Ovis aries: one gene and its partner. The protein of the gene in region 2 purifies or fractionates together with the protein of the main gene of each other region. This does not show direct contact. Links are inferred from orthologs where the notes say so. Each region holds a gene or a part of one and is shown on either strand. Other genes may lie near its edges.

Region 1 (11,212 bases), on a different chromosome or scaffold from region 2:
CTCTGACAAGACTCCTGCTCACACTGTCACCATGGCTTGCATCTCTTCCAACCAAGCCATGACCACAGGTATGTTGGGTTTTTTTTTGACAGCAGAAGGTACATGTTGGTTCTCCTTTGTCTTTTCTATGATCATTAAACATTATTCTTAACAGAAATAAATGATCTCTGAATTTGTGTGTTTCAGAAAATAAGGTACCATTTACATTTTTTTATTTTTGACAGTAGTTCTCCACCTTTTTCTTGCCCTCCATACGTGAGGACCACAACCATCTGTGTAGTTTCTTCATCAGTAGTGTGGCTGGCTATCACAGGGATTATTAAACGGAGGAGGTGCTTCTGGATTTGAGGCAGGAGGAGTTTATCACCTGCTAGGTTTTAAGATTAGGTGATTCTAGCATGATACTCGCCCATGAAGATGGTGGCCCTCCTCCCTCTATCATCATCATAGCGATAAATCACTGACTTGGATGGTACAGCTCTTTGCTCTACTTTCCCCCCACATCTTGGCCTTTTTATAATTATTTACAAATTCTCACAATAAACTTAGCAAATCTGTGGAACATTTTGTAGCACCAGCCCTTACTGTGAAAAGACAGGAAACCTGAAAGATACAGTGATCATGTACGCTCTTAGTGACATCAAGGCCAAGTGGCCAGCGCACCATAAAGGTGGCAGGGAATAAGCTGGAGGCAGAAATGGGGGCATTCTCCACTCTGCACAGCATGTGACTGCTTCCAGTTAGAGCAACATAATGCTTGCCCGTGGCCAGAGGGCAGGGGGCTGCCTTACATCTAAAAGCCATACTTTATCTAGATTGTAGTAGAAACCGAAATTCTCTTTATAGGATAAAGAGTTGTTACCAAAACTGAAGCTGGGAACATATGAAATATGCCACATATTCTACTTTAGATATGATTTGTTTGAGAATTGGTCCAGTGGATACTTCTGAAGGTTGATGTCCCTGTAGCCTGAATGAAACTTGTTTTTCTCTAGTGCATTGAATGTATTTTGAGTCATTCAAAAAAATTATCCTAATCCCTCTGAAAAGATAAAAACCAGCATTACACATGTTGTACAATGCTAATAACTATCGTACAATTTTTAAGTCCAGCCTAAATTTAAGAAAAATAAAAAGAAGCTTAAATTGCCAGTGGTCTCTTAGTTTATGCAACAGATACTCATGTGCATACAACCTGTGCCTGTGCCCTATAGCTGTCGGCCTGATTGCCTCCGGCCAGTGTGATGTGGTCGTGGCAGGTGGTGTAGAGTTGATGTCTGACATCCCTATTCGCCATTCAAGGAAAATGAGGAAAATGATGCTGGATCTCAATAAGGCCAAGACTCTGGCTCAGCGACTCTCTGTAATCTCTAAATTCAGATTGAATTTCCTATCGCCAGAGGTAAGACTCCTGAATGCTAACATAAAGACTTGTGTTGCCAAAGCATCCCACTGCAGAGATTTAGTGTTAGATAAGATGGCATGGGTTCAGTTATGTTCTAATAGCTGTGAATTCTGTTAGTTACAAGAAAAGGTTAATTATTAGGTCAAGACAGAGAAAAAAATAGCAGAAGATTTGAATTTGTAAGCCCTTTTTAGAGATGTCTTGCGCACAAAGAACTTCCCTTGTCTTGATCTTGATTGATCGTAGACTTTAACTTTCCCAGACAGCCCTAGGTGTGGTATAGCACCTGTTATATAACAGTGTACCTGGTCCCGATTATCTCCTTTCCCAGCTTCCTGCAGTGAGTGAGTTCTCCACCAGTGAGACCATGGGCCACTCTGCAGACCGATTGGCTGCTGCCTTTGCTATTTCTCGGGAGGAGCAGGATGAATACGCACTGCGCTCTCACAGCCTGGCCAAAAGGGCACAGGATGAAGGACTCCTTTCTGATGTTGTGCCCTTCAAAGTACCAGGTAAAACAGTTCACTCAGCTTTGTAAAGGGAAATGCTTCTTGATATTGTTAGAGAGTTCTGAATTTCTTCTAAAACTCCAAAAACCCTAAGTGACTTTTCAATGAATATTTCCAAAATACTCAGCTTTTATTCTTAAACATTGACTCAGGTTTCAATTTTTGTTGTAACATATGTAAGCATTTTAAAGAGATGTTTTATAAATCTCCTTTAGGTCTGGCAGATATATTTTAGTTCTTATGTGCATGCCTGTTTTTAAAGTTCTGTATTTATAAGACTTCTGTAAAGAAGAGCCAAATATAAATAAATATCTTGAGAAAATAAGTTATCCTTTTTAATGTTAAATCATTTAGATTATTTCCCAAATGTCTTAAGAGTTTGCTTTCATATTTGGTAATATCTTGATAACTATAAAGAGCCTTCTTTTTAGTGAATAGTTATGGTTTATATTTTATTTGTTCTTGTAATTTTAAAGCATATTTCTCTGTAGAAGATACATAATGCTTATTGAGCTTAGAGTTAAAAATTTCATATTTTTATAGGAAGAGATACAGTTACACAAGATAATGGCATTCGTCCTTCCTCTCTGGATCAGATGGCCAAACTAAAACCTGCATTCATCAAGCCCTATGGCACAGTGACAGCTGCAAATTCTTCTTTCCTGGTAACTGTGTGCTATTTAATGGCAACCCACTCCAGTGTTCTTGCCTGGAGAATCCCAGGGCCGGGGGAGTCTGGTGTCTATGGGGTTGCACAGAGTCGGACATGACTGAAGCGACTTAGCAGCAGCAGCAGCAGCAGCAATGATCTTTTATATTTGTGTATTCTCAATAGGAAAGCCTAAAATAAATGTACTTGTGTGTATTATGAATAGAGACTTAAAAACATACTTACTCAGACTTCCCTGGTGGCAATGTGGATAAGAATCCACTTGCCAATGCAGGGGACACAGGTTCAATCTGTGGTCTGGGAAGATTCCACTGGCTGCGGAGCAACTAAACTTATGCACCACAACTATTGAGCCAGAGCTCTAGAGCCCACCAGCCGCAACTACGGAATGAGAGTCATTTCCTAGGCAGGTTGGTAAGTCCAGGGGTCCCCAGGAGAGAGGGGTCTGGAATTCTCAAGGAGGAAGAAAGAACAAACTTTTTTTTTTTTCCTCTACATTCCTTAGGATTATATAACAATAATGTATCCTGCCTGAGGACAGTCTCTGGATTAAACCTTCTGGCTAATCCTGTTATCTTATAGTAAATTATGGGAGTAGGTCTGCTGAGGTCTTTACAACCTCCAGACATTCTTTTGATTCATTGTAATGACTAATTGGAGAGTGTATAACTCCATTGCTAACACTAACACTTTCTGCCCCCTTCTGATGCCTATGTCAGAAGCTTTCTCTATCTCCTTTATACTTTAATAAAACTTTAGTACGCAAAAGCTCTGAGCTTTCAAGCCTCGTCTCTGGCCCCAGATTGAATTCTTCTCCTCTGGAGGCCAAGAATCCTGACGTATTTTCGTGGTTCAGCAACAGCTTTTCATGAGCCCACCTGCCTCAGCTACTGTTGGCCACAGCCCACATGCCTAGAGCCTGTGCTCCACAACAAAGAGAGCCACCACAATGAGAAGCCTGCCCACCACAACTAGGGAGTAGCCCCCACTTGCCACAACTAGAGAAAGCCCTTATGCAGCAACAAAGACCCAGCACAGCCAAAAATAAATAAAATATACTTACCTATTACAAAGACTATTAAAATAGAATCAGTTTTTAAAGCTATGAAAGTCCCCTGATCCAGTCAGCATTCTAATACAAAAACACTGTTCTCAAAAAAAAAAAAAGCTGTTCTCTTCAGTCACTTCAGCAGTCAAAAAATTTTGCCTGCCTGTGCTGGGCACTGGAGATAAAAAGAATAGTTAATTGTAGTGAGAAAGTTCTGTGATGACTGTAAGCATTGACTCTTGGAGAAGATACATAGTTGGGTGAGTAAGAGAGTCTTCTTAGAGGAGGTAATACTTGATCAGTGAATCTTGAAGGAAGAGTACAAGCCAATTCAAGAAGTGTATAAAAGGCTTTCTAGGCAAAGGGAATGGCAAATGCAACTTTGAGAGTTAGGAGAGCAAAGGGCCTCTGGAGAAAAGCCTGGTCGGAACACAGGATATGAATTTAGGGAGTCATCTACAACTTGGAGGACAGGGAAACCTGGCGTGCTGCAGTCCATGGGGTCACAGAGAGTCTGATACAACTTAGCAACTGAGCAACATAAGACTTGAAAAGTAGGCAGAGAGAATGACAAGATACTTTTTCTAGTTCTGATTATTAGAAAATTATGTTTTATGCTGACCCCCAAATTACTTTCCTATAAGCATCATGGAGTAAATCTACCCGCATTTTTGGTTGTTATTTTACTTATATGCAGGTAGCTTCATGTCCTTGCTTGGGCTTTTTTTCTTTCCTCCTCTATTAAATGTCCCTCTTGATTCTGCTTCTGCTGTGAGATGTGATTTCCCTCATACTACCTTGGGTGCAGTCTTCAGGATATAGTTAATCTGGTCAGTGTTTCTTCTTACAGTATCATTCTTCTACCCAGACATACAGTCTAGAAAGAAACACAGGCAAATGTTTTACTTATTTGACCTTGATAAATGACAATTTAATGCCTGCTCTTGAGCTTAGGAAAGAATACCTGAGGTGATTTTAACAGGATGGTGTACCACCTGGTAAAGCCTGAGCAGTGAAGGATTGGTTAGGTGGTTATTTCTAAAACCAAATTGGATGATAGGTTCATATGGCATCGGTTACACTCTTGGCAGATCTGAACCCCCTTGAATACTTGTGAGATGTGCAGAAGGTTCAGGTTTATTCATCAAAATCAGAAACACGAGTCATTAGAGGTAATACATCACAGATACATGGGTTTTCAGAGATGCTGTTAATGTACCGTATTCATTGAAGTTTTTCACAATTGCACATTGAATATAGTAATGTGATGTTATTAGGTATAGTCACCTGTGTTTCCAGACTTTATGGCCACCTTATTGGTAGTGGCTGCATAGCCTCTTCAGAGTTACTGAGTTACAAAAATATGGTCTGAAATTACGGTAGAGATTGTTTTAATTTTGTCAGTTCTAGAGAGTAGTTTCTTTTCCTTTGGAATTTTTGTGTGTGTTTTTTTTTTTTTTAGCTTTTTCTTTTGAAACAGTAGTAAAGGGCTTTTGTGAGTAGTACTAATTTGTCCCTCACTTCTTCTTCTTGGTTTGCTTGTTATAGAGTCTTTAAATTGAAGAAAATCATGTACAAGCCACAGGCAGGAAACAGCTGAGAAGCAGTCCAGAAAATATAAAAATAAATCAGTAAAGAAGAGATTTGGGGGAGGATTAATTCATAAAATTCCTCATATTCTGTGCCAAAAGCAAAAAACTTCTAGTTTATTATGAATACTATTGAGTTACCAATTCTCATCATTCATTTTGATAATTATGATACTTTTTGAATAGACTTTTCTACCCTCATCTGCCAAAAATGGGTCAGTATGTGTGTAAAATTGTGATTTAATGATGGATAAAATGGGAAGATTTTGTTACAGAGAGTCACTCTGTAAGTGTGATGCGTTGGTAAATTGAGGAACAGAGTATAGAAGACGGCTGAAGAAATAGCACCAGGTAGGCTGCAGTTATTTAACATTTTTGTTCCAATTAATATTTCAGACTGATGGTGCGTCTGCAGTGCTTATTATGGCAGAGGAAAAAGCTCTGGCCATGGGTTATAAGCCAAAGGCATATCTGAGGTAAAGTAAGTATTCAAGTAAGTTTCCTCTGGTTTCTTTACTTTAGTACAGAGCTCACCCTTCTGTTTTATATCTAGGGATTTCATGTACGTGTCCCAGGATCCAAAAGATCAGCTTTTACTTGGGTAGGTAGCAATGTATATTCTTGGATTATTCTAGAAAATATTGGTTACCCATGTTTATTACATAGATTTTAAAAGTATATAAAGCACTGAGTTCATAATTGTTTTGTAAATTGGGTTTTTAAAATAATAATCCTTTATGTTGTGTTATCGTTTTATAACTTTTCTACTTGTTCCTATGCTTTTCTACTACAGTTATCACATATATACAACTTTATATCCTTTTTTACATTAAGATGTCATAAGCATTTTTTTATACTGCTACTTACTCTGCAACACAATCAGAATAGCTTTTTATGAAAGCCTCCTAATGTTTAGATAGACTCCTCTCCCTTCCTCGCAAGGCTGTACCTTCACTAGCCTCCATCATGTCACTTAACCAGCCATGCCCCTTATGCTCTGCCATTTGAGCTCTGTGTTCTTCTGGCTCTTCACATGATTAACTTGCCCTTCTCTTTTATTGTCTACTTGCTTATTATCTCTTTCTCTGAGTCTAGAATATCAACTGCAGAGGGCAGAGGCCGTGTCTGTTCAGTTTACTGTTGTATCAACAACACTTTGTTTGTACCGTAGAATCAGTGAATGAGTAGAGGACCTTCTAATAACTATGTAAAATTCAGTTTGGGGAATATGAAAGAGTTCTTTAGTTAAAAATGAAAGTTTTAATATCGTATCACTGAGTTTTTTCTTTTCAGACCAACATATGCTACTCCAAAAGTTCTGGAAAAGGCAGGATTAACAATGAATGATATTGACGCTTTTGAATTTCATGAAGCTTTCTCAGTAAGTCACTTTAAAGACACATATCAAAGGACTATAATCATTTAATATGTGTGAAACAAGTAGAGCTTTATGTTTGAAGTACTGACTTAACACTACTGGGAGGAAATCCAGGGCTACACCCACAGTGTTGAAAAACATATCTTTTGAAGCTATCTCTTTGAGGCCCTTCAGAAGTATCAGGTTGGTTCTTTAGAAAATATTCACGGAAAACTGATTTAAAGATTTGCTTAGCACTGAAGTTAGACAGACTCATGCATGAAAGAAAGTCTTGAGGGATTTTACTACAAGAAGGTCCTTATTGATTTATTTTCCTTTCTAGGGTCAGATTTTGGCTAATTTGAAGGCCATGGATTCTGATTGGTTTGCACAAAACTACATGGGTAGAAAAGCCAAGGTAAGTTTCTGGTTAAAAATATGCTTGAGGAAAAAAAAGATAGGCTTGAGGGATTTTCCTGGAAGTCCAGTGGTTAAGGCTCCATGCTTCCATTGCACGGGGTGTGGGTTCTATCCCTGGTCGGGGAATTAAGATCCTGCATGCCTCACAGTGTGGCCTCCCCCGACCCTGCAAAGCAAACCTTTGAATTTCCAAAGCACTATAATATTTGGAACTTTAATACCTGCTAATAAAAATATGAAGAGGAAGGCTGCTGCTTCTTTGGAAAATTTTTGTGTGTTATTTCATGTATTTATTTCTTAGTTGAAAAATAGCTCCTGGAAGTTCTTTGGAAAAAATAAAAGGAAGAATTCAAATTGTCTTTGGTTCATCCACTCTGATGTCAGATGAAAAATAAACAGGGCCCTTGGCTTTCAGAATTGATTTGGAATTTCTTTTGTAGTAAAATAGTATATGGTGGGTCTTTAAGAAAGTTATTTCCCTCTATTGCTATTACTTCCTGTTACTCAGAGCCTGGCCTGATTTTTAAGTAAATTCGTCTTTTTTATTTGTGTTTGTTTTTGTGGGAGCCAGGTTGGATTGCCTCCTTTGGAGAAGTTTAACAACTGGGGTGGATCACTGTCCCTGGGGCACCCGTTCGGAGCCACTGGCTGTCGGTTGGTCATGGCAGCTGCCAACAGGTTACGGAAGGAAGGAGGCCAGTATGGTCTAGTTGCCGCCTGTGCAGCTGGAGGGCAGGTAGGTCACAGAAGCTTAATACCTTCCAGAAAGTTATTTTCTTAGAAACAAATTCATCCAAGAATGTTTGATTTATCTTAATTCGAAACAGTCTTAGAGTGATTTTTCTGATGACACACAACTGGAAAAAAAAAGCCCATTTTTGAGGGCCGGGGAGTACAGCTTCAACCCTGAGAGTACTTTGAACGAAAGAAGCTATTTATATCCAAATTTTTTTCCCCCTAAAATAATGTTTACAGGTTTTATTTATGTGCTTATTATGGAAATTATGGAAAATACAAAAAGTATGTAGAAAATAAGACTAGAATCACTTCCCCTCATCAGATACTATCATTAATCATACTTTGATATATTTTCTTCTTTAATAATAAAATTTTATTCATTTATTTAGTCACCTTGAGACCTTATCTATAAAATCTCTCCAAGAGGAAAACTGTGTTTCTTGAGAAGTGAACTGTACAATGGAGAATTAATTTACCTCTGGATAACTTATTGCTATTTAGCTGGGGAAAATTTTGTTTTCTACAGATTTTTTCTATCTGTTTTACTTGTGTTACCAACAAAACTTCCTACCTGTAGCATTTCATTGTGGGACTACAATCCAAAGGAAGGCTGGCTATAATCTGTTTTTTTTTTTTCTTTTAACCCTGCTGGAAACACATTTGATTTTTCACCAGATAATAGAATCTATTTGTTGCTGACCAAGATGAATAAGATATGTAAAAGTATAAACATCTTGCATTTAAAAGCCTTTATTTATGGCTTTTCCTCCCAGACTTTGAAAAAGCAAGGGGTCAGTTATTTTTAGGTTAGAATCTTTTAGACTTCATGATTGGAAGTATTTTCTAAACTGGGTAACTTCGTTTATGGAAAACCATGGTTGGTCAGGACTGGAGCCCTCCTTCTTATCTTTCTATGCCAAGATCCACTGGGGGAGATAACTGATGCACAACGTTGTACATGGTGCATAGTCCACACCAGTCAGTGTCCTTTGGTTTTGAGTGTTTGTTCCCTAGTTTTTTAATCTAGCACATAGAGGATTAGTAACCTAATACTAGATGGTTTTGTAAATGAACAAAGAATAATATCCAATGTTATTACTTTCCTCCAGAAGTTTAAGTGTAGTGAGGAAGGAGATGATGCATTCTAGACACTAGATTCAGCTTGGCATTGTTTCATCAAGAGCCAAGTGAGTGCTGTATAGACATGATTAGATCAGAGGAGGAGTTCGTCATTGGATCTAGAGCAGGATTTCTCAGCTTTGGCAGTAGTAACACTTTGGGCTAGGTAATTCTTTGTTTGGCTGGCAGGATTATGCTGTGTGTTGTAGAGTGTTTAGCATGGTCTCTGTCCACTAGATAACAGTAGCAAACAACCCCCCTCATTACCGGCTCTCCCTGTCTCACCATATACACACAGTTGGGACAACCAAAAATATCTCCAGACATTGCTAAATGTCCTCTGGGGAGGGTGGGGAGCAAAATCACTGCAGTTGGGAATCACTGACATAGAATAGTATAATAGATTTGGAACATGAAAATAACACAGCTTAAATAAAACAGGAGAAGGAATATTCTAACTTATTATGTATCCTTCTAGGACAACCCGAAGTCAGTCAGACCTTCCCATCCCTGTTCTTTCATTTGCTTGTGCCTGTATCAAGGGTATTTAACAGTTTGTTTTGAACTACAGTGTATACTAGATTGAGGATAGAGGCCATGTAGCAAAACCTTGTACCCACACAGTGTTTAACTCGGTGCCTTATAAATAATAGTTCCTTAATAAATATTGTGGGGATTGAATTGAATCTAGAAGTAGGGAGATTAGTTAAAACTGTTAACTGGATTGATAACAGTCCAGAAGAATGATTATGATTATCAGATAGGATTTAGACTCGTGACATCATACATTTCTACACTAGGGTTAAACTAGGGAGGTAACTGTACTGTGCCTAGTGCTTGGAAAGGGGTTTTCTGCCTTTTGACTGTTGTGGGACCGCAGCTCATCATCTCCACACGCATAGCGTAGTAAAGAAGAGATCAGGCTTTGGAATCATCTGGTTTCAAGTCCTGACCCTGTTATTTGATAGCTTTCTGGATTTGGGTGAGTAATGTAACCTTTTTACATTTTTTAAATAAAAAGCCCCCATTTTTCTCATCTTTCTCACAAGAAAGAAAGCTGTTGTCAAATTCACTGTATCATGTTTATTTTTATATAGCTAAAAAAAGCCACTGTGGCTTATTTTAATAGCAGCCACTTATGGAGCATCTACTAGAAATCAGACTCTACTAGGCAGACTTTGATGCACATGTGTATGCATGTATGTGTGTGGTGTATGTACACACACATTGTATGCTATCGCTTAATTTAATGCTCACAAAAATACTTTGATATGGGCACCACGAGCCCCATTTTATAGAGGAAGTTGAAGTTCAGAGTGGCTAATAACTTTCCCAAGATCACACAGTGTTTGAATGGCAGAGTCAGGATTGAGTTCCAAAGCCTGTACTTTTCCGTGGTTCTCTGCTGCCTCCATACTGGCTGGATTCATGCCTTTCATTGCTCTAACTGGACTTCTTTTTTCTTTTACAGGGCCATGCTATGATAGTGGAAGCTTATCCAAAATAGTAGATCCAGAAGAGGTGACCTGGAGTTTCTGTGCAGCACTCGGCCTAGGCAATGCCATTTCAATGCACTATTCAATGACATCTCTAGTTCCCAGCTCCTCTTAGGAAAGCAAAATTTGTGGCCTTTTGTTCAATACTTTGCAATTAAGCCTTTCCAGTGTTCTGAGCTTTCTAAGAATCACAGCTTACTACTGTTTCAGGGATTCCTTAGTTACCAGAATCTCTCACAGTGATAAGTTCAAGCAATTGTATTTGGTCTCTATTTTCATTAAGGACTGAATTAGTGGCTACAGTTTTGGAAAGAGACTAGGTGAGATTTGGGATCACCTTTGTAACATTTGCAAATTATAACTCATTCCTATTTGTGACCTAACGATAAACGTTTTCTATAAAACACAAAACTAGTGTGCCTAAATTAACTTAATTATGGGGAAATAATTCAGAATCTAAGCATCACTGAAAATTTACAGTAAATGTTTAGATGTATAAATACCTTGTTAAAAGTGTTAGTTGTCAGTCATGTCCAACTCTGTGACCCCATGGACTGTAGCCTGCCAGGCTCCTCTGTCCATGAAATTCTCCAGGCAAGAATACTGGGGTGGGTTGCCATTCCCTTCTCCAGAGGATCGTCCTGATGCAGGGATCTAACCCACATCTACATTGCATGCAGATTCTTTACCATCCGAGCCAACAGGAAAGCCCATGTTGGTTAACCTTAATAAAGTAGAAGTTTGAGAACCATTTGTCTTGTTTTATTAGAGGTAAGAGGTGGTTCTCTTGTTTTAGGGACAGATTTTGCCTTGGACTGCTCATTTGTAACTTCTAACCATTTTGGTCTACCATGAGGCCGC
Region 2 (11,748 bases):
TGTGGGGCCGGGGGCCTGGCACAGCACAGCCTCCTAGGGCTCTGGCCGTCCCTGCTAGCCGCCCAGGGCCCCTCCTTCCAGCCGTGGCGGGGGCGGTGGGCGGGGCTCTGGGCCTCTGTGAGGCTGAGACGGGGCGGGGTGGGGGGACAGCGCGTGGGGGAGCCCCCGGGGCTGTCCTGTCACCCGGCCAAGCCTCCAGAACCCGGGATCTTTCAGCACAAAGGAGCAGCCTGGGTCCTCCGGAGCCAGGAGCCAGCCCCCGCCCCCCACACACTCCCGCCCCGCCCGACTCACTCCCGCCCCCCACCCCCCACTCACTCCCGCCCCGCCCCCTACACACTCACTCCAGCCCCGCACGCTGTATCCCCTCCCAGGGCCTCCCACGCATCGGCGGGGAAACCAAGCCTGTCCACGCAAACCAGCGCCACTGAGTCACGATGGTCCCAGCCTGGTGGCCCTGCCTACTGTGGAGGTCCTCATGACGGGCCCTCACTGACCACTAAGTTCTCGGTGGTCCCTGCCACCAGGGAGACGCCTCAGCAGGTCGGGAAGGTCAGAGGCAGAGAACCCTGCTCCCTCCCCCCTACCCGATTCCGATGGAGATGTTCAGGGCTGCACTGAGGCCCCACAGCTGCACTGAGGCCCTGGCCCAGGGAGTCCCCCACCTCCCAGGGAACACCCAGAGCCCAGGAGCCCTGCTCACTGGATGGGAAGCGCCCCTGACCTTGACTGAACCTTGTCCCTAGTCCACACATCAAACCCTTGGACCTGAGGATGGGGCCTTGTTTGAGTGTGGGGTCTTTGCAGACGTAACTGCTGCTGCTGCTGCTGCTCAGTCACTTCAGCTGTGTCCGACTCTGTGCGACGCCATAGACGGCAGCCCACCAGGCTCCCCCGTCCCTGGGATTCTCCAGGCAAGAACACTGGAGTGGGTTGCCATTTCCTTCTCCAATGCATTAAAGTGAAAAGTGAAAGTGAAGTTGCTCAGTCGTGTCTGACTCTTCACGACCCTATGGACTGCAGCCCACTGGAGTGGGGTGCCACTGCCTTCTCCAGCAGATGTAACTGCTCTCCTCCTAACTTGATAGGACTGGTGTCCTTATTTCCATAAGGTGGAATCCAGACACAGGCTGGCACAGGCCTTGTAAAGACGAAGCAGAGACCCCCTAGACCAAGGGTCACCCACCACCTCCCAAAGCAGAGGAGACCGGAGCAAGCCTTCCTGTGTGGTCTTGGGAGGAACCACGGAGATCTCGGACTGCCAGCTCCCGCACTGCAAGACCACAGCCCCTGCCATGGAGCCGCCTAGCCTGGGGCATCTCCATGGGTAGCCCCGGGGAAGCGGCTTCGTGCCTGGGTCCCAGTGCCCAGCCCAGCCCAGCACCATGCAGCCAGTGCCCAGAGACCTCACTGCTGAGGCTGTCCGGTCTGGGGAGCACCCTGGGGGGCAGAGAGCCCCCAGAGCGGGGTGGGGGCCCTCGGGACGCCGGGAACCACGCCCCCGAGGGACGCTGGTTCGGGTGGGCCGGGGTCCAGCCTGCGGGAGGACGTGTGTGTGCCAGGACAGTGGGAACCGACGCCGAGGCCACAGGCAGACGCGGGCGGGGCTGGGGCTGGCCTGGCCCCGCAGGGGCTCCCCGACCTGCCCAGGCTCTCACGCTTCCTGCCAGCGGAGCAGGTCCACACCCCTCACACCCAGGGTGCCCCCGCACCCGAGGCTGGAGCAGGAAGTCAGGAGAGTGGGAGGTCCGGCTGCACCCCCAGGGCAGAGGCCACGGCAGGGAGGACAGGCCAGCACCCCCCACCCCACAGGGGGAGACAGCGGACAGCCGCGGCCCCCACCCCGCCCGAATCAGCCCTGCCCAGAGGCTGCAGGCAGCTCGGGGCTCCTGCCCAGGCCTGTTCCTAGACGCACGCGATGAGAAGGCCGCCAGCCGGCACAGGGTGGGTGGCCCTGCATTGGAGCTCCACCCGAACGTGGGCAGGGGCCTGGCCCCACAGGACTAGCCTGGTGGCTGGACGTGGTCAGGGCAGGCAACAGGCACGGGCCTGGTCCTGAGCCCTGGTCTGAAATGTTTCAGAAATAAGCTGAGGCCTCGGGGAGAGCCGGCCGGCCTCTCTCCAGGGGGCGAGTCCTGGCCGGGACCCGACCTGACCTGGCGAGGCCTGTCCCCCTGGCCTGGCCGGGCCGGGCGGACACCCATGCCCGTGCCTCTAGGGGGCCGAGCAGAGGCCCAGTGCGCCCACACCCATTCTGTGCTCCCTCCCCAGCTCCGGGGTCCGCCTGCCGCCGGGCCAGCGTGCCCCAGCCCCTCTGCCAGGAGGCCTGTCCACCTCAGGCTCACGCTGTTCCTAACTAGGGCCAGCACGGGGCCAGTTTACTGAGACCTCTGGCCAGCCCTCCGGAGTCACCCACCCTGGACAGGACATCCCCGTGACTGCCGGGGAACCTGGCTTGCTATGGTGCTGGGGACACTCCAGGCCTGCCCCGAGGGTCATAGCCGTGCTGCCCGTGGGGCACACCAAGGGTCACGCCCCTGGAGGAGCTCTCCTGAGCAGGGCACGGGCGGTGGGCCTTCCCTGGACAGGTGCCAGGACTGGCCAGGGGTGCACCTGTGGGCAAGGCCGGGCCGCCGTCAGCCCAGTGAGGGAGGGGCACGGAGGCCCCCGGGAGGGGTCAGTGCAGAGGCTTCTGGTCTGAGAGGGGGGCTGGGACCAGGGGAGCTGCGGAGAGGGCAGCTGGCAGCCCTCCAGGCTGGGGTGACGTGAGGCGTCCAGAAGCCCAGAGCCCAGCACTGCTCAGCCATTAGTGCCACGGGCCCGGGGGTCAGCACACTGGGCTCTGGACCTGAGCGCCCAGTGGGTGAGTGTGGAGCTGGAGAAGCGGCGGGGCTTCTTGGCCTCAGGTACTCACCCCTGAGTCAGGTCCAGGCCCCCACCACTGCACTCGCCGGACGGTCCCGGGGAGTGACCCCCGAGTCAGGTCCAGGCACCCCATCCCCTGCACCCGCCAGACAGTCCTGGGGAGTGACCCCCGAGTCAGGTCCAGGCACCCCCCGCACTGGACAGTCCTGGGGAGTGACCCTTGAATCAAGTCCAGACCCCCACACCCCCTGCACCCGCCAGACAGTCCTGGGGAGTGACCCCTGAGTCAGGTCCAGAACCCCCACCCACTGGACAGTGCCAGGGAGTGACTCCCAAGTCAAGTCCAGACCCCCCACACCCTGCACCCGCCAGACGGTCCTGGGGAGTGACCCCCGAGTCAGGTCCAGAGCCCCCAACCCCCTGCACCCTCCAGACAGTCCTGGGGAGTGACCCCAGAGTCAGGTCCAGAGCCCCCAACCCCCTGCACCCTCCAGACAGTCCTGGGGAGTGACCCCAGAGTCAGGTCCAGACCCCCCCACACCCTGCACCCGCCAGACAGTCCTGGGGAGTGACCCCCGAGTCAGGTCCAGAGCCCCCAACCCCCTGCACCCTCCAGACAGTCCTGGGGAGTGACCCCAGAGTCAGGTCCAGACCCCCCCACACCCTGCACCCGCCAGACAGTCCTGGGGAGTGACCCCCGAGTCAGGTCCAGACCCCCTATCCCCTGCACCCGGCAGATGGTCCTGGGGAGTGACCCCTGAGTCCGGGGCAGGACGGCGCTTCCACCTGCTAGACAGCACTGCTGGAAGGGCCCGAGTGGGCTCCAGGGCTGGGAGCAGCCCCCAGAGCGCACAGGGCCAGCGCGCTTTCCCTCCGCGGCCTTCAGGGGGGTCCTGACTGTGTCCGTTGTCACATGTGGAGAAACGGGGGCCGGGAGAGCCCAGGTGGCGGTGGGCGGGCGCCGCAACAGGGCTGGCCTTTGCGCCCAGGCCCAGGGAGGACGCCCTGCCCCTCCGGGAAGCGCGGCGGCGTGCCGGGGCTCCAGCGGGGGCCCAGGCCGTTGCATCACGCAGTGGCCTGTCGGCTCCTGGCTCCCCTGGGTCCCCACCCTTCTTCCCCCGCCCTCCAGCCTTGTCCTCAGGCTGGGGATGATGAAACCGCAGCGGCTCCAGGGGTGAGGAGCCAGAGCAGCGGCTCAGAGGAGGCTGGAGACCACCTGGGGACCCAGGGCAGGCCCCTGGGTCTCTGCCCTCTCAACAGGGCGGGATGAGCACTGTCTGGTCTGCGGCTGGGCTGGGCACCAGGCGGTCTGTGCGAGGCCCGCTGACTGTGGCCGAGCGACAGCCTTGGGCAGGTGGCACGGTGAAGCAATGGTTTCTGCTGGGAGGCCTGAGCGGTGGCCCCTGCTGGGGGCCCCTGGCCAGCTGGGGTCCCAGAGCCGAGGAGCCGCTGACAGCGCCGGGCTCCCCTCCAACCTCCAACCCCAAAGCCGGACAGCCAGGTCCTTCCTCCTCGGCCCGGCCCTCCGCCTCCCACGGCCCCCACCGTGGCCGGGCATAAAGTGGGACGTGTGTGGGTGTGGACTGAGAACCGACTCCGTGCCAGGAACTGGGCGAGGTTCTGCGGCTGCCGCAGAGAACAGAACAGACAGATGCGCCTCTGCCCCCAGGACCCTAGTGAAGGGTCAGAGAGGCCATGATGAACTGTGGCATCAAAGGGTCAGGAGAGCCAGCAGGTGCCCCGGGAGCAAGCCCCTAGGTGAAGGCCGAGAGACCACAGGCACCTGTACACCCGTATGTGTGCATGTGTGTGCGTGTGTGAGCACATGTGTGCGTGTTTGCACGGGTGTGCACGGGTGTGCAGGTGTGCACGTGTGCATCACATGTATACACGCGCGCGCGTGTGTGTGTGCATGCATGTATGGGTGTGTGCATGTCCTGTGACAGATGCAGCCTGGGGCTGGGCTTTTCCCAGCCGTTGCAGGCGGACTGAGGCTGAGGGGCGGCTCCCTCTCACTTTCTACGCAGGGCTCTGGCTGGGGGGAGGCCCCCCTGTAAAATGGGATGGCTGCCCTCCTCACCCTGGCTGAGCCTGGCTGTCCATCCAAAAAACTACACACATCACAAACAGAAGCCCCTCGTGCTCTGACGGCCCCTCTTTCCTGAGCCCACGGAGTTTCTACCCCCTGGGGAGGTGGAGGCTGGAAAGGTCGCCCACAGGCCCAGGGCCGTCCTCCCTCCCCTCCAGTCCTGGGAAACACGGAGCCTCCACCCCACCAGCCAACTCAGGCGCCCACCCCCGCAGGATCCCCAGGCACCCACCGGCCCCCAAGACTCAACACGGAAGGCCCGGCTCCAGGAGACCGTCGTGCCACCAAGCGGCCACCAGGGGGCGCCCGGCCCGCGGAGCCGCACCAAGCTGCCGAGCAGGAGGAGTGTACAGGGCTGGCCGCTGCCTTGGGAGGTCACCCTGCTTCCTTCACCCCACGTGGCGCTGGCACTCCTCTCGGTGCCTGGGCCCTGCGGGGCACTCAGGGGGGCGGGGTGCAGCCACAGGACCCCCGGGAGCTGGGGCGGAGGAGTCACAGGGAGTCCAGGCAGAGAGGCCCCGTGAGGGCGGCACCCGGAGCTGCGGCTGGCACCACGCTCCCCAGTTGCAAAGTCCCCCATCACACGCACAGCAGCGCTCTTTGCCGGTCCCGGGCCCTGAAGCGCCTGCACCCTGCAGTCCAAGGAGGCCTGGCCGCCAACCCGCCTTGCCTTCCCTAGCCTGCCCACCACGCTCCCAGCCCTTGGCGGCTGCCCAAACCCTGCCACCCTGTGTCTCGGCCTAACTGGGACAGAGGCCTGTGGGTGCGATCGAGAGTAGGACAGCCCCCAAGGACATAAAGGCCGCGTGGGAGTGGGCTTCTGAGGGGGGGCTGTGGAGTCCAGGGGTCTTGGGGGGTGCCAGCCGAGGCTGGGGCTGGGAGACCCTGGGGCTCGGGGATTCACCCAAAAGGTCAAGCATTTCCAGGCCTCCGGCCCTAGCATGGGGCAGGGTCAGGGGAGAGCCTGAACCGACTGTGCAGGGGGTCTTGTGCTGGTCCCGAGTGCCCAGACGCACCCACGAAAATTGCCCCTCCAAGGGAGGAGGCAGCTCTGACGATCAATGGCAGGTCTCTGTCAGCAGAAGCACGGGAAGGCCTGCCTGGGGGACTTGAGAGGGGGGAATCTCCAGAGCCCCGGGCAGGGGGCTGTCAAGGAGCCCAGGCAGTGTTCTGTGGGTTCTGCCCTCCTGGGGGCAGGGGTCAAGGGCCTGGCTGCCCCCCACCTCCCGTTCCCCAGCCAGGCCCGGCCATGGACGCAGTCCTCACTCTCCCCTCTCATTCAGAATTCCTGTGGCTGCGGTCCTTCCCTGTCCCCCGTGTGACAACTTTAGTGTGGTCTCTCCCCGCTCCCCACCCCGCCACCCCCCGCCCTGGCTTGGGAGGCGTCCCCAGGGCAGGAGCCTGGAACTCTGCTCCCGGCCGCCCCCCTCCACCCCGGTCCCGGGAACCCTGCACCGCCGTGCACGCCCGGTGCAGCTCTGGACACGTTTGCAGCTTGAGGAAGGAGCTTGGGGGTGGGGGGAGTGTCTGCGAGCTCCGCAGACTCCGCGCTCCCCCTCACCCCCGCTCCGGTCCGTACAGCTCCTCCGAGGCCCGCAGGAGGGTGTGCAGGACTGCGGGCAGCTGCACGGCCCAGGCCGCCTGCGACGGCGCTGCTCTTACAAAGAAACGGCACGGCCCCTGGGCGGGATCCAAGGCGCCGACCACCTGCAGCTGGACTCCCCGCCGGAGGCGGCCCGGAGCGCCAGGCGAGCACAAGCTCCCCAGGCAGGAGTCCCTGCGAGGCGGCGTTCCGCTCCCGCTGGCCGAGGTCGCGCCCGTCCGCCCCGGCCCTCGCCCCTCCCCAAGCGCACAGCTCGCTCCCTGCCTCGCCGGGGCCCCGAGGATGTCTCTGCTGGGGACCCCCGGGAATCCGCGGGCCGACCCCAGGAGCCTCCGGGGAAGGACCGCACGGCCCCGGGGGAGTCCGGAGCCCACGGCCGCGGTCTTCTGCGCCCCCACAGCCGACTCAGCGGCTCAGCCCAAGCTGCCCTGGAGGACTCGCCGGGTCGGAGAGCGCCCCGTTGGCTGCGCGGCGAGGACAGCTCCGCGGGGAAGGGGCCAGTGTGTGCGCGTCGGCGGCCGGGGAAGGCCGGGCGGAGTGGAGGAGACCCGGGCGGAGGGCGGGCGGCGCGGGGCGCGGGGGCGCAGGGCGGGAGAGAGGAGGGGGCGCAGCGGCGCTCCGGGCGCGCGGGTCACTCACCCGAGATCTCCGCCTGGGGCACATCGCTCAGGCTGAAGCCCTTGGCCCCGTAGATCTGGCGCACTTCCCCGCAGCTCCGACTCTTGCTGGCAGGGTCCCCGCGGGCGCAGGCGACCAGCACGGCGGCCGCGTACAGCAGCCACCAGCCTCGGGCCCGGAGCTCCATGGCGGTGCCGGCGGCGCCCCCGGCCGGGCCCGCGCAGCCCCCGCCCGCGAAGGGCAGAGCCAAGGTCCCCGCGCACTCGGCTGGCGGTCCGGAGGCGCCGGCGGCCTGGGAGGCGGAGACAACAAAAGCCGGCGGGGCGCGGGGCGCGCGGGGCGCGAGGTCCGGCCGCTGGCTCGGGCGGCCCCAGAGCGCGGCAGGCGAGCGCGCAGTCCGGGCCCGGCCCCTGGGCGGCGGGGCGCGGGGCGGGGCGGGGCGCGCGGGGCGGGGCGCGCGGGGCGCGCGGGGCGGGGCGCGGCGCGGGGGCGCGATCCCAGGCGCGCGGGGCGCCCCTCCGGCTCCCGGGCCTGGGGCGGGGAGCTGCCCGGCTCGCGCGGGTCTGCCGACAGCTGGAGGAGAGCGGGGTGGCGCAGAGCGCGGGGCCGCGTCCGGGGTCCCCAGGGCGGGCCCCCCACCCCCAGCGCCCGGGGCGGCGACACCACCTGCGGGGGCGGCGGCGGGGGCGCTGAGGCAGGGCTTCCCCCGCCGGACGTGACGTCACGCCTCCCGCGCGCCTATCAGGGGCCTCCCCGCCCCCCGCCGGCCGCCCGCCCAGCTTCCCGCGACTCCGCGCCGGCCCTGCCGGCCTGCGCCCTGCTGGCCGCGTGCCTCGCGCGCAGGGTCCCGCAGCCTGCTCGGCCCCCTGTGTCCGCCGCCCGCACCTGGCCCTCACCCCTTCACCGGCCCCTCACCCTCGCGCCCGTTTCAACCTCCTCGCCCGCGGCTCCAGCTCCGTCTTGATTTTTTTGTGGAGGAGGGTTGGGGGCTGTACGCGGGAAACGAGCCAAGAGAGCAGCCCGCAACCGCTCGCCTTCACGCTCAGAGGCAACCCGCTGCTTAGTTGCCGGAGATCGTCGGCCGGCTTTTGTGCCCTCCACGTGATGCTCTGGATGCTTGAGAAGCGAGAGCGGGGCAGAGGCTTGTCCGAGGGCTGGGGCCGCCGGGTGGTGGCAGGTGACCTCTTGGAGAAGGGGTGGGGTCGGGCCAGGAGCAGGTCAGGTGTATGGGGGAGGGGGGCGGAGAGCGCTCGCAGACCGAGGGGTGGCCGGGACCGCGCGGGGGTTTCGCAGTGCTGTCGGCCGCAGGGAGAGGGGACGGGGGCCGCGGGAAGGGAGGTCAGAAGCTGGGCGCTGGCTCCGGGAGGGCTGCTTCGTTTCTTCCCAGGGGCTGCCCTCCCCCGCTTCGCGCTCGTGCCCCCCTGCTCTGTGAGCATAGAGCCCAGAGGCCACCAGTCCCCGAGCCCAGACGCCTGATGGGCAGAAATGGAGTGCGAGCTCACGAAGCAGCACCCTTGGGAGGACCCCGAGACCGCCGCCGGGAGCCGGGGAGACGCCTGGGCCTTGGACCTGGGGCCCTGTTCACCTCACAGGAGCAAGCCCGCCCACTGTTGGAGGAAGGAGGGCCGCATCCCTCCCTTGGGGCTCCCAGAGTGGTGGGCGCCGCAGCCCTAGAGCGTCTCCTAGCCCCTCGCCATTGTGAGACGGGGGTGAGGCCCCGCCGTGTGCGGGCCTCCGGGCCTCCAGCCCTCCGCGTGCACCTGCTGTGTCCAGCGGGTGACTCGGGTGCAGCCCTCCGGCGGCCACTCCAGGACCCCCCTCCATCTTTGCTTCCGGATCAGGCGGGGGGGGGGGGGGGGGCTAAACCTGATCTGAGGTTTGGTGGGGTCACCCAACCTGGCTGTAGTTACTGGGGTCTGTCACCTGTAAAGTCGGCCAGACCGTGCGATTCCTCAGGGCAGGATCAGTGCACCAGAGCCTGGGGGGCCGCTCTCACGTGGCCGGCATCGAGGTGCTGGTGGTGGGCACAGCCCCTGCCCGGCCCCTCCCAGGTGTGTCCTGGCTCCATCGCCCCTAAGGTCCTCTGTTCTTTCCCCTTCAGAGCCAGGGTCCTTCCACTAGTGAAGAACTGTTCCCAGGCAGTTCTAACGTCTCATTGCCAAGACGTGGAGGCGAGCCGGGCAAGCGAGGGCCTCGGCCCCGCTGGAGGATAGCTGCGAGGGCAGCTGGGTGTGGGCGCTGGGCCCCCCTCCCGGGAGTGCGGGGCTCTGCCTATGCCCCTGTTGCTCCTCCCCACGCTGGGAGGCTGCCTGGGGAGGTGGTGGGGCGGCCAGGGTGCGGTGTGGGCTGAGGACCAGGGTCCCCCGGGGCACACCCCGCCTCCCCCCCCACCCCACGGGTACTGTCTTTCTGGCTCTCCATCACCAGGTCATTGATTGAAGGTGACAGAAAGCAGTGGGAGGGAAAGCCCATGCTTTGTCTCATCACCACCGCCAGTGGCCTCCCTGGTTCCGCCCCGGCGTGAGAGCGGCGGACCGGAGTTCAAGGCCCGGCCCCACACTCGTCGGCCGTGTGTTCAAGGCCCGGCCCCATGCTCGTCGGCCTCGTCGGCCGTGTGGTTGCAGATGCCTCACTCTCCCGGGTTTCATGTCTCCTCGTAGGGACTGAGGGCGGGGCCTGGCCATGCCCATGCAGGCTGGGAGCTGCTGTGGAGACCCAGTGCAGGGCCTGTCCTTGGGGCCAGGGGACGCTGTGGAGGGCCTGGTGTCGGCTCGTGTCCACAGGGAGGCAGGGGACTGTCCGCCTGGCTCCGGATGGGTCCAGCACCTGCCAGGAGCCTTGTGACCAGGAGCTGGAGGCCAGGCGCAGGGGCAGCTGACTGCTAGGTGGCCGTGGCTCCGGGTGGCTCTGCTGAAGGCGCAGGTCACAGGCCTTGGGGCCTGGAGAGGAGGTGCCGCCTGCACCCCCATGTTCCTTCCTCTCTTCCGAGGGAAGGGGCCCGGTTCAGGGTCATAACACCCCAGTGCCAGCTGCTGGGAGTCCACTGCTCCCGAGACACAGCTGCCTGTGCCCAGCCCCCACTCATGGCCCTGGGCCTGCCGTGCAGACTGAGCGCCCCCCTGGGAGAACGCACAGCCTGGGTCTCCGGGATCTAGGGCAAGGTTGCACTGGGGAGGGCCTCATGAGCCCACAGGTGGCTGCTGTGGCTCTGGCCAAGACCACCATCCTCTGCTCTGGGGTCCCGGTCTGCCAGACATGTGGGCACAGATGTGCGAAGGGAGGAAGGCGTGAGTGGTTTGCTCATAAAGAGAAACAGCATCATCCCTGTCGAGTGGGTGTGTGACAGGCTGGATTTGCCCTCTGCTGACACCAAGTGCGGGCTGAGAAGAAAAGGACCATTTAGAGTCGTCTCAGAAGGGGGCGTGTGCTCTCCCACGTTTCCGTCTCCTTGAGGAGTGACCCGGAGGGGCAGCGCCCTGCCCCCCACTTCCTGTTTCTGGCCGGTGAGGGGCTGGCGGCCAGGGTTGCTCAGAAGCCACGGGAGCCAGCTGTTAGGGCTGCGGGCCTGGCGGGCTCCACCCCGGACCCCGCAGGCTGGGGCTCCCCCTGCAGCTGCTGGGGGGTAACGGGATTTGTGTCTGGTGGGCATCTTTTGGGACCCCCAAGGCAAGTGCCCAGGTGGACTGAGCAGTTAAGTTCACCTCCATCCACAGGACTGTCTCTGCCCGCCGTGCCCCCAGCGAGACCCTCTCCCGCTGGCAGGACAGGGCGGGGTCAGGGGGCGCTGGGCCCAGGACAGCTGGGCTGCCGCTGACCTGCTGGGGCCCCAGAGCTGCTGTGATGCCCTGGGGGTGGGCGGAGGGCACAGGGTCCCCCCACCTCTGTAGGGAGCTGGGGGCTGCTGGGCAGCAGGCTGAGAGAGGGAGTGGGCACCTCGGGCATGGCTGGAGGAGATGAATGGGACTCTGGTGGAGCAGAGACTTCTGTGGGCAGGAGTCCTCAGGGTCCCTGGTGGCTCCCCGAGCCTGGGGGGTGAGGGGGCGCCCTCCTGGGCCTCGTGGCTGCTGCTGGTCTGCTCCCGAACGCTTCTCGTCGCTCACGCATCCCTTTGGGAACGCGTCTCTTGTCCTTATAAAAGATCTCGCCCCAGGATGTTAGGGCAGAATCCCCAAGGTGTGGCACTGGCCTGGGCTCTGCCCAGCAGCGTCCTGGAGGCCCCGCAGGCGAGGGTCTCGTCCTCAACCCCCAGAAGGCCGACTCGGCTCTGAGTCTGAACTACTCCCCTAAATCGGGGTGGGGGACGCCCCTCTGAAGCAGGGAGGGTGGAGAAGGCCCACGCTGAGCACGGGGTTTGCAGGTCAGACGAAATGGGGGTGTCGTCCCCAAGGGCCGTCCTGCCCGTCCCCCGTCCCTTGCTCCAGCTCCTGCAAGGGCTCGGAGCTCAAGGCGGACACCTAGGCAGCCCGCTCAGCTCCGCGGGGCCCTTTGATCAGCCAGAAGCCTGGGCAGGCCTCCCAGGCTCCTGAGGCTCGGGCACGCGGGCGGGGCTGGGCAGGAGCTGTGGGCGGGTGCC

The links.
Region 1: the proteins of GPC1 (region 2) and HADHB purify together in Homo sapiens (co-immunoprecipitation; 3 studies listed by BioGRID and IntAct, counting the BioPlex papers as one, with this or other methods). This does not show direct contact. The link is inferred for Ovis aries from reciprocal best matches to the Homo sapiens genes GPC1 and HADHB.

The regions. Positions count from the first base shown.
Region 1 is NC_056056.1:33,481,580-33,492,791, forward strand, and holds the end of HADHB (trifunctional enzyme subunit beta, mitochondrial), read left to right. Parts: coding exon 1-68; intron 69-1,214; coding exon 1,215-1,402; intron 1,403-1,736; coding exon 1,737-1,917; intron 1,918-2,457; coding exon 2,458-2,579; intron 2,580-5,617; coding exon 5,618-5,697; intron 5,698-5,774; coding exon 5,775-5,822; intron 5,823-6,514; coding exon 6,515-6,602; intron 6,603-6,921; coding exon 6,922-6,996; intron 6,997-7,569; coding exon 7,570-7,779; 3' UTR 7,780-10,326; coding exon of another isoform or gene 10,327-10,362; 3' UTR 10,363-11,099; downstream 11,100-11,212. UniProt on the Homo sapiens protein: Mitochondrial trifunctional enzyme catalyzes the last three of the four reactions of the mitochondrial beta-oxidation pathway.
Region 2 is NC_056054.1:1,126,508-1,138,255, forward strand, and holds the start of GPC1 (glypican-1), read right to left. Parts: upstream 7,548-11,748; 5' UTR 7,363-7,547; coding exon 7,197-7,362; intron 1-7,196. UniProt on the Homo sapiens protein: Cell surface proteoglycan that bears heparan sulfate. Binds, via the heparan sulfate side chains, alpha-4 (V) collagen and participates in Schwann cell myelination.